2 linked regions of the Rattus norvegicus genome follow. The protein of the gene in region 1 purifies or fractionates together with the protein of each later gene. This does not show direct contact. Links are inferred from orthologs where the notes say so. Each region holds a gene or a part of one and is shown on either strand. Other genes may lie near its edges.

Region 1 (4,860 bases):
CAGCCCTGGCTGGCTTACCATGCACTACATAGCTAAGGCTTACCTTAATTCCACATTCTTGCCTCTACCCCTAGAGTGCTAAAATGACAGTTGTGAACCACCGTATTCATATCTTTCTTCCCTAACTTTTGGTTTCTTGTTTGTTTGTTTGTTTGTTTGGTTGGTTGGTTGGTTTTGGTTTTTCAAGATAAGGTTTCTCTGTGTAAGCCTGTGCAATCCTGGAACTTGATTTGTAGACCAGGCTGGCCTTGAACTCGGAGATCTTCTGTCTCTGCCTTGTCATATTAAATCCTCACATTAAATTTTTAAAAAATAATCATTATTATATTATAACCTAATATTGTAGAAATGTTGGATATTGATTCAAGAAAGAATTTTAGCTGGGTATGGTGTTGCATGTGCCTGTAATCCCACGACTTGGAAGGTGAGGTGGAATGATGCTACATTTTTGATGCATCCTGGTCTATAGTGCCAGTTCCAAGTTATCTTGGACTACAGATTGGAACCCTGTCTCAAAGACTAAAATAGTGCAGGCAAGATGGCTCAATGGGTAGAGGTGTTTGCTGTCAAGTCTGGGGACCTGAATTTGAATTCCCAAAACCATACGGTAGAAGGAGAGAACCAATGCCTAGCAAGTTGCCCTTTGACTTTCTTAACCACTACCCATCTATAAGGCAAATAAAATGTAGTAAAATAGATTTTTGATAATCATATTTCATCAAATGAAGCCTCTCCTTTTTATAAGAATTTGATAATCACTTGAGAAGGTATTGTAGTTCATAAAATCCTTACATTAAATTTTGGATTTTTTTTTGTTTGTTTGATTTTGGTTTGGGGTTTGTTTTGTTTTGTTTTGTTTTTTGAAATAGGGCTTTTCTGGCTGTCCTGGAACTTGGCTCAGTAGACCGGTTGGCCCCGAATTCGAGATCTGCTTGCCTCAGTTGGGATCAAAGGCATCACTGCCTTTAATTTAAACTTGTAAGGAAATTTAAAATATTTAAATATTTATATTAAATTTGTAAGGAAAACATAATTATCCCATTTCCTACACAAAGAAACTGAGGTCCGGATTAACTGAGAAAAGTGATTTGTTCAAAAGAAGTACAAGACTACTATTTAGCATCCTGCCTCCATCCGAGGCTTCTTCTGCTACATCCCAGTTGCCTCTTGGTTTCCTCTCAGCACAGAACAGTATCATCAATATTTGCGATTGCAAGCTCTCAAACAAACAAAGAGGGCAGAGGTGTTGACAGCAGTTTAAGCATCAGTAGTTAGGTAAAGGCAACGTGATGATGGCTGAAAATGCATAGTTTTCCACAAACCTTTCGTTTTTCTATCTGAAGCCTTGGTAGCCATTCCTCCAGCCACTGGCTGACAAGCACCTGACAAGCAGCTCTAGGAAACGCAGCTGCGCGCGTTCCCTTTAAGGCCGCAGGCGGCGCGTGCCCATAGCCCTTTCAAACGGACCAATAAAGGGACGATAGGCGGTTCTCCGAGGACCAATAAACAACGAGGACACTGCGGGGTGTGCGGCGGCTCAAGCGGTTTTAAACGGCTTAGAGCAGGCCCCTCGGTTCTGACCCAGCGGAGGTGAGTGGACGGTGGGCCTCACTTGTTCGCCTGGACCCTGAGGATCCGGCGTCGCGCGCGCTAGGGGACCCACAGCCGCGGGCGGGGCCCTCGCGGACGCGCGCCTCCGCGTTCTCGCGAACCCGGCAGGTCTGAGGCGGCGAAGCGGGGCGGAGGCCTGGGAGCCCGCGGCTGGCAGGGCGGGGGGCGTGGGCGCTCGCTTGTGTTGGTGACCGGGGCTGGGGTTCAGGTGAGCAGAGCACGCGGCGGAGAGCTACTGCAGCTTCAGAGGTTCGCGGGCGGCGCCGGGCCGCGCCCGAAGGCTGAGATGTCCGAGGTTGGGGCGGGGGCCCTGCCAGCAGGCCCTTGGTGGAGTGCGCCTCGCGGAATTGTTAAATGAATGAACAAGAGCACGGGAGGGCTGTAGTGGGTGTGAAGGGCCTAGTTGTCTCAGAGCGGGACCAGATCCTGGTGTCCGAGCCTGCCTTCATACCTGCGTCCACTACCTGCGATGATTTTGTAAGGATTCTGTTCGTTCACCGCCCCGCCCTTGGTTTTCTCCCTCAGAAAGTGTCAGCAGAGTTCAGGTATTTTGCAGCTGTGAAGGTTTCCGGGACCAGTACAATAGCCAGCAGTGTAGGGTAGGTTAGCCAGGCCTTGCCACTTTAAGGCTCGATAGATGAGATTCTCACTTTTTAGCTCTTAGCAAATCGTTGTTGAGAGAGCTGACCAAAGTCTCGGTAATTGCTATGCAAGATTGAATGCATCCCATTTTGTTTCTTGCGTAGGGCATGATGAAAGAAATGTTGTCAGAGTGGCTGCTGTGTGTTAGAGAATATATTCTTGTTGATGAATCTTAACAATGAGTTTCTGATTCAGCACCAGTAGAGGTTTTGCAGAACTTGTCCCAAATTTATGCACGACTCTTAATTCTCCTAGGAACCAAGGCATTAAATCTTGGCCCAGATAGGATGCTTGTCTTACATTATGCATAATTATAGAACTGAAAACTCATTTTTAGAAAGGTGAAATCCCTTTTTTTCCATTTTCATCACCCTGAAAACTCCTTCTATGACCTAAAGAGCAAGAATAAGTCAAGCTAATGGTCATTTGAGACTTTTCTAAAGTGACTGGACTAGTAAGGTTTAATGAAGAGAAAATCAAAATCAACTTTTTTTTTTGTCAGCGTAAGTTAAATCAAGGTAGTAAACCTGTAATGAAAAAAATTGTACACAAAACTTGTTTAAATTTTTTTTTTTTTAACATGGGGCTGGAGAGATGACTTTTAGTACTTTGCTAAAGTACTGGTTGCTTTTCCAGAGCAGCTGGGTCTAGTCCCAGCAGCCACAACCATCTGTAACTCCAGTTCCATGGGGACTGATACTCTCCTCTGGCCTCCATGGGTGCTGCATATACATGGTACACAGACATACAGGCAAAACACACACACACACACACACACACACACACACACACACACACATATATTTTTAAAGATCTTTTATGTTTACTTTTGTGAGTGGGTACATATGCTTGATGTCAGACAAGTTGCTGGAGTTCTATCGTGTTGGTTCCGAGGATCAAACCTTAGTTGTAAGACTTGGCAGAAAACACCCTCACCATTTAACTCCCCCTTTCTGGTCCCAAAATTTTACCTTAGTTTTTAATGCTGTTCACTTAAGGAGGTGGCAAGCAAAGGTATTCCATAACAATATGCCATATACCTTCCTCTCTTTTAAAGTTTGGATTATCAATTTTGAATTATGTGGAGTGGTATGTGGTAATTCATCAGTAGCAGTTCAGTCGATGAATAAATAATTTAAACCTGGGTTTGGAAAAAGCAATTAAAAATAACTCACTTCTTTAACAATCGCTTTGGATAGTGTTAAAATATTTTTCCCAAGATTTATTTTATGAATGTTCGGTCTGTGTATGTATGTGCATTATGGATGTGTTTGTTCTCACAGACTTCCTTCAGAAGAAGGCATTGGATGCCCTGGAACTGGGGTCACAGATGCTTATAAGTAGACATGTGGGTACTGGGAACCAAACTTGGGTCCTCTGCAAGAACAACAAATCTTAAGTCTAAGCTGTTTTCTCCAGTTCCCATTGGTTAAAAGTCTTGATAAAGATGAAAACTTGCAAGGCATGATGGTTCACACCTCTAATTTTAATATGTGGGAGGCCGAAGCAGGAGGATTGCTGTGAGCACGAGACCAGCCTGGGCTATATAGTTAGTTTCTGGCCAAAATGGATTACAGAGTGAGGCCGTCTCAAAAAACAGCAGAAAAACCCAACAAGAGCAAATGAACATTTTATATTCTAGTGAAGCCAGGATGTCGTGTGTCCTGCTGAGATTGATGGCTGTTGGATGGTAAAACGTTATTCTAGATTCAGGGAGCACACTTGTGAGCCAGGAAAAAAGCACCTAAGGGAATTTAACACATTTATCTTCTGAACAATTTACAATGGTAAATTATAGTTTCTATGATCCCTCTAGCTTAGCCTGGGGCCTTGAACAAAGTAAATTCTTAAATGTGTTTACTAGCAGTAGCTAATTGTGATGGCTTGTATATGCTTGGTCCAGGGAGTGGCACTGTTAGGAGGTGTAGCCCTGTAGGAGTAGGTGTGGCCTTGTTGGGGGTCTGGGCTTTAAGATCCTCATTCTCGATGTCCGGAAGCCAGTCTTTTCCTAGTGGCCTTCAGATGAAGATGTAGAACTCTCAGCAATCCTGTACCTTCCCTGCCTGGATGCTGCCATGCTCCCATCTTGATGATAATTGACTGAACCTCTGATCCTGTAAGCCAGCCCCAATTAAATGAAATGGCCTTATAAGAGTTGCCTTTGTTATGGTATCTGTTTATAGCAGTAAAACCTTTACTAACTAAGACAGAAGTTTGGACCAGGTACTGGGGTAATGCTGTAATAGGTCTGACCATATAATAGGTCTGCTTTTGTTTGGAAGGATGTGGATTTGGGGACTTTAGATTTGGAAAGCAGTGGAATCCTTTAAGTGGGACTTAATGGGCTATCCTAGTAGGAATATGAAAGACTTTGTTGCCCAAAATGGTTTGAAGTGTGCAGAACTGGCCTAAGAGGTTTCAGTGGAGAAGAATTTCAGTATGTGGAGTAGAGACTGTATTTGTGGTATTTTGGTGAAGAATGTGGCTGTTTTTTGCCATTGTGTGAAGAGTCTGCCTGAGGCTAAGGTGAAAAGATTTAGATTGCTTTGAGGAAGGAAGTCTCAAAACAGCCTGGTATAAATTCTGTTGTGTGGTTAAAATATAAGG
Region 2 (4,998 bases), on another chromosome or scaffold:
GGAAACCTGCTGGCAGGTCTCCTGATCCCGATAATTATTCCATATCACATTGCGCTTTCCTCTCAAGAACACCAATGCTAACTTCAGAATGTTAAGTGAGTTTTTCAAGGAATACCCTTAAAGAGTTCATTTGAAGCTTGGCTAACATGGAATCGGAATCCATGTCATAAGCAGATAATGTAAATGAATTACTGTGGTGTGTGATGAACCCTTGGTGATGAAACCTTCAACAATGAGATCAGATGTGTCAGGCACAATCGTAGCATTTAATGTGCACTACACAGATAATGCATTTCGTTTTACAAAATTTTAACAAGCAAAGGCATGCTTTTAATGTGTCTGCATAGCTAGGAAAACACACTTGACAGCAAACTTTAGCATACTCAAAGAATTTATTTTTGGACTATCAAAACTCATCTTCTGTTTAATTCCAGCAAAACAGGCATGTGCATGTCAGCCTCATAAGCAAGGAAAATGGAACGAGTCCTTTTGTCAACTATACAGATCAAACCAAATTAAAATACAAATATCTGTAGCCAACTATTGAGGTGATTTCAGCGCCAAGACAGTAACTCCTTCCAAGGATTTTTACAAAGAGGCGTCAAATATGGTAGGTAGGATGGTCTAGGCAAGGAAAATACAGCACGGAAAGGCAGAAGGGTTTAAGTCTTTATGTGAGTCCACACCCAGGTGTAATAAGACTGGTTCGAGGGTGGAGGAGGCAATTGGGAGTCAACTGCAAACATCAGCTGGAAAAGTTGAGAGAGCAGGCTTGTTTGGCTGCTTACCATATAGGTAAGTAGCTCACAACGGACAACTGTGGAGGAGTGAGCCAATATGACAGAAACAAAGCATTAAGTTTTGTTTGCAGTCGCTTCCACCAGTACAAATAGATGCCACCGAGGGCAGAATTTTACGTCTACTACCCTTCAACACTCTCTAATCCCTGTCAACGGATTGCTTAAATACTTTTCATGAACAACTTAAAAAAAATAAAAGAGTCACAAGCCTTTGATCGCAGCTTTTGAAAGGAGGGAGAGGCTGAGCTTTCGAGGCCAGCCTGGTCTACAGAGCGAGTTTCAGGACAGTCAGGACTACACGGAGAAATCTTGCCTCGAAAACCAAAAAGTCAAGACATACTATTAAAAAGTCTTTTGGGGTAAAGGGAGTATCCAAGGAATACAACGCGCATTAATTACCGTTGAAAGATTAGCACAGAAGTCTTTTCCATCATCCGACTGTCTCTGAGCTGTAAACCTTAAGCCAACGAAACAAAACAAAACAACCCCCGCCCACGCGTTTTAAACGGATGAAATAATGCCTTTAAAAGTGCTTAGCGCAGTGTCTGGCCCATAGGAACCACTCAACAAATTACGGTTATTAGACTTCCGAGCTCTCAACCATTCGGGATTCGGGTTCTCATTTTCAGGGGATGGAACGGGCCACAGATGGTCCCCGGGGCTGCTGCCAGCTCCGACAGTCTCCGGTTTCAAGCAGGAACCTACTCAGTATTGCCAAACAAACCAAGGAAACCATCCATGCAGCCAGGCGAGGCCATCGGTCCGCGAGTCTCAGCACCCACCCCTTGCCACAGACGCCAAAGGCGGGGCTGAACCGGAGCCTGAGCTGGATCTGGATCCCGGTTCTCGATTTCACCCTGGCTCACAACTATCTTTGGGCAGGATAGGCGGACAGGGCAAAACTCCAGAGCTAACCCAGCCCGACCCACCTTCGCCGGCGCCCACCACACCCCTTCCGGCTGGGGCCCCGCCCCTAACAATGACCCCCGCCCCTCTTGGTCCCTCCCGTTTTCAGGCCCCGCCCCCAGCCCCGCCCCACCGCGAGCCGGGCGCTTAGTTCTTTCAGCCCACGGGCAGCCACGTCCTCCCCTGACGCTCTGAGGTCACCGACCGGGCTGGCCGGCAGGGGGCGGAGGGACGGAGGGAAGATGGCGGCCGAGGCCGGATATTGGCGCCGCCTCCCCCAGTCGCGGAGCCGGCGCAGATGAGGCGGCTCGGCTGGGGCCAGCGGCGCTTCGCAACCCGAGCCGGGGGGACCCTGGCGGTGGGGCCTGGCCCTGCTCTATGCCGGCGCCTCGGCTAGCGTGAGCGGTGGCGGTAACGCCTCTCTCCCCCGTGCTTCCCCTGCGGCTTGGGAGTCGGAGCGGGCGGCGCGGCCGGCATGGAGGACGTTAACTCCAATGTGAACGCGGACCAGGAGGTGCGGAAGCTGCAGGAGCTGGTGAAGAAGCTGGAGAAGCAGAACGAGCAGCTGAGGAGCCGCTCAGGAGCCGTGCAGAGTGCAGGCCTCCTCGGGCCGGGCAGCCCTGCTCGGGCCGGCGTGTCCACCCCCTCCTCGGGCGCGGCGTCCCCTCGGGGCTTCCCGCTGGGCCTGGGCGCCAAGGCGAGCGGCGGGGCGGGCTCGGGCCCGCGACGGACCAGCAGTGAGGATCTGCGGGACGCCACCTCCTTGCTGGCGGCTGGTGAGGGCGGCTTGCTGGACGAGGTAGAACCGCTGCGGCCCGACGAGCTGGAGCGCTTGTCAGGCTGGGAGGAGGAAGAAGAGAGCTGGTGAGCGCGGGGCGCCGGGCCGGGTGGGCCTGGGGGAGGGGTGTCCCTGGGGAAGCAGGGTGGGCTCGGCGGTGGTGGGGACGCAGGCTTTGCCTGATTCTGCTGCGGGCAGGTTGGCTGGAGTTTGGGGGTTCGAGGCGTGCCTTGGAAACAGGTCTGTAGCTAGTTCTCTTCTGGGTCGTGGAACCTCTGGGTGCTGGACCCAACTGGACCCAGATGGGGTCTGTGGCTTGGCACAGTCCCGGTGGGCCCGCACGCTCAGAGCACTCAGAGGTACCAAGCTGCTTCGTAGGAAGTGATCCTGCTTTGTGTGAAAGACTGGCTTTCGGATGGTGTTCTGAGCGTTTTGGATATAGGGAGAGGTCTGCTTCAAGAGGTAACGACCAGGTGCGGGGACATACAGAGTAGCAGTCAGGGCTTTGGACTTGAGTGAGATGGGTATGTTTGTGGGGAGGCCGGGTTAACGTCACTCCCCTTTGGGTAGTTGGGGTAAAGCTTTGCTTTGTGTGTGTGTGAAGAGGGCAGTGGAGGGATGGGGCTGCTTTGTGTGAAGTCGGCGGCGGTGGAACAGGAACCCTGAATTTTATTTTTGAGAACAAGAATTGGGTCTGACATAATTTCGGAGCCGTGAAGCAGTAGCCACCATAGCTGACTATCATTTCCATGCCATTCTGGAGGCAGAGAAAGAGTCCTATTTTAAAAATCCAGACCAAAGCCGTAATTGTCATGAGGCACCTCTTGATGAGCTTGTGACCCCACACCTTAAAGTCACACTTTCGTTAGGCCACGAGCAGCTTTCCCTCTAGTTTTATTTTTGATTTAAAAACACCTGCTGGAAATTATCCTCACAAATTCATCCGTTTTTGAAGTCCTAACTTTTAGCTAGAACGTTTATGCTGTTGACATTAAAACTTCTCTGAGGTCGAAATCTCTCATGGACTGGTATCCAGGCCTCCAGCATTGAAGAATTCTAAGCACTGCCTAGCTGGATGTAGGCCCTAGATTTGTCACTTAAAGGTTTATGACCTTGGAGAAGTTACTTGGAGCTTCACTTCTTTTCCTCAGGAAAATTCTCATTCTTGTGTAGAATTCTGAAGATTAAGTCAGATAATCCACGTGTACTTTTATTTTAGCACTGGGCTAAAATAAATTCTCCAGGACTGGGCACTATTAGCCTTAAGCCTGGCTATTTAAATCAACACTATTTTGTGAGTTTGCATGTGATCCCTGCTATGGGAGATTCTAAAGATTCTTAAGTGCTGATGCCTGTGTGCGAGGCCCTGGCAGTCATATTGAGAGCTAAGTCTTGGTCAGTTAAACAAGGTAGGATGTGTATAGTGAAGTGAGAGAGTTATAGAACAGCACTAGTGCCTTGGTCCAGATACTAGGCCAAACTTTTCGGAGACTGTATAAGTCAGAGAGGGAACTAGGAACATTCCAGCATTTTACGTGTCACAGCTACAAGAAGTATTTTTAACTCATACTTAGGACCATATGAGTGACAGGCCTTGCTTCTTGCCAAGAGATACCAAGTATTAGTAGAATGAGTGCAGTAGTTAGAACATGCTCATGTTAGTGACCCTGTCCTCTGAAGGGATCCTGTGCATGTGCACTTTGAAAGAATCCAGAGTCATCCAAGTATCATCACAGCCCTTCCAAGTGATGATGAGATCAGTGCTCATGGTAGTGAGGATTGGCTGCACCCACCAGCCGGTTTTAGATGGATTGGTAGAGCACAGTGACTCCACCAGGCAGGCACCAAGCAAGTCTTTAGCTGCTTTGGTTTCTGAGCATGGATTTGTCAAGGTAAAGCAAGTACTCTTAGGTGAGCATGCCAGGAGTTTGTTTTGACCACATGATTCCTACTTACTCTGTTTCACATGGTTCCATGTCTTTGGTGCTATAGATATCTTATGCTTTTTCCTGAAAATGCTTATGGGATTTAAAATCTGGCCCTGAGTTCGACTTTAACTGTGATAGGTCAGGGGAGAGTTAGATAAAGAAATGAGGGTTAAAATGCCGTGGGGTGTGTCTGAGTAGTAGGAGGGTGTGGCTGTAAGTGGCTGGAAGAGTTCATAGTAAAATTTGCTTTCTCAGCAAGTCAGAAACCTACCTTCCATAGCTCGATTCTATTGCATATCATTTTCATCTAGAGAAAGTTTTGCCCCTAGCATATGCCACAAAATGTAGAAGGAAGGAGTAGGCATTATATGGGAAAATAACTGGCTTCTGGTATAAATTTAAGTAAGGGAAACGGGGCTTATCAAAAGTGAAGGGTTTCTTTCATGCTGGGCTTTTTCGAGATGCAGATCTGTATTGGCCATAATAAATGCTCCAGGGATTGTGGTTGTTTCCTAAACTTAATTGAGTTCCCAAGGAGCTAGTTATCATCTCATAGAACGCACTTAGGCAGGAGTGGTGGACAGCT

What was found.
Region 2: the proteins of Ckap5 (region 1) and Slain2 purify together in Homo sapiens (affinity purification with mass spectrometry; 4 studies listed by BioGRID and IntAct, counting the BioPlex papers as one, with this or other methods). This does not show direct contact. The link is inferred for Rattus norvegicus from reciprocal best matches to the Homo sapiens genes CKAP5 and SLAIN2.

Annotation. Positions count from the first base shown.
Region 1 is NC_086021.1:97,945,517-97,950,376, forward strand, and holds the start of Ckap5 (cytoskeleton-associated protein 5), read left to right. Parts: upstream 1-1,531; 5' UTR 1,532-1,590; intron 1,591-1,689; exon of another isoform or gene 1,690-2,088; intron 2,089-4,860. UniProt on the Homo sapiens protein: Binds to the plus end of microtubules and regulates microtubule dynamics and microtubule organization. Acts as a processive microtubule polymerase. Promotes cytoplasmic microtubule nucleation and elongation. Plays a major role in organizing spindle poles.
Region 2 is NC_086032.1:35,655,627-35,660,624, reverse strand, and holds the start of Slain2 (SLAIN motif-containing protein 2), read left to right. Parts: upstream 1-1,940; 5' UTR 1,941-2,181; coding exon 2,182-2,570; intron 2,571-4,998.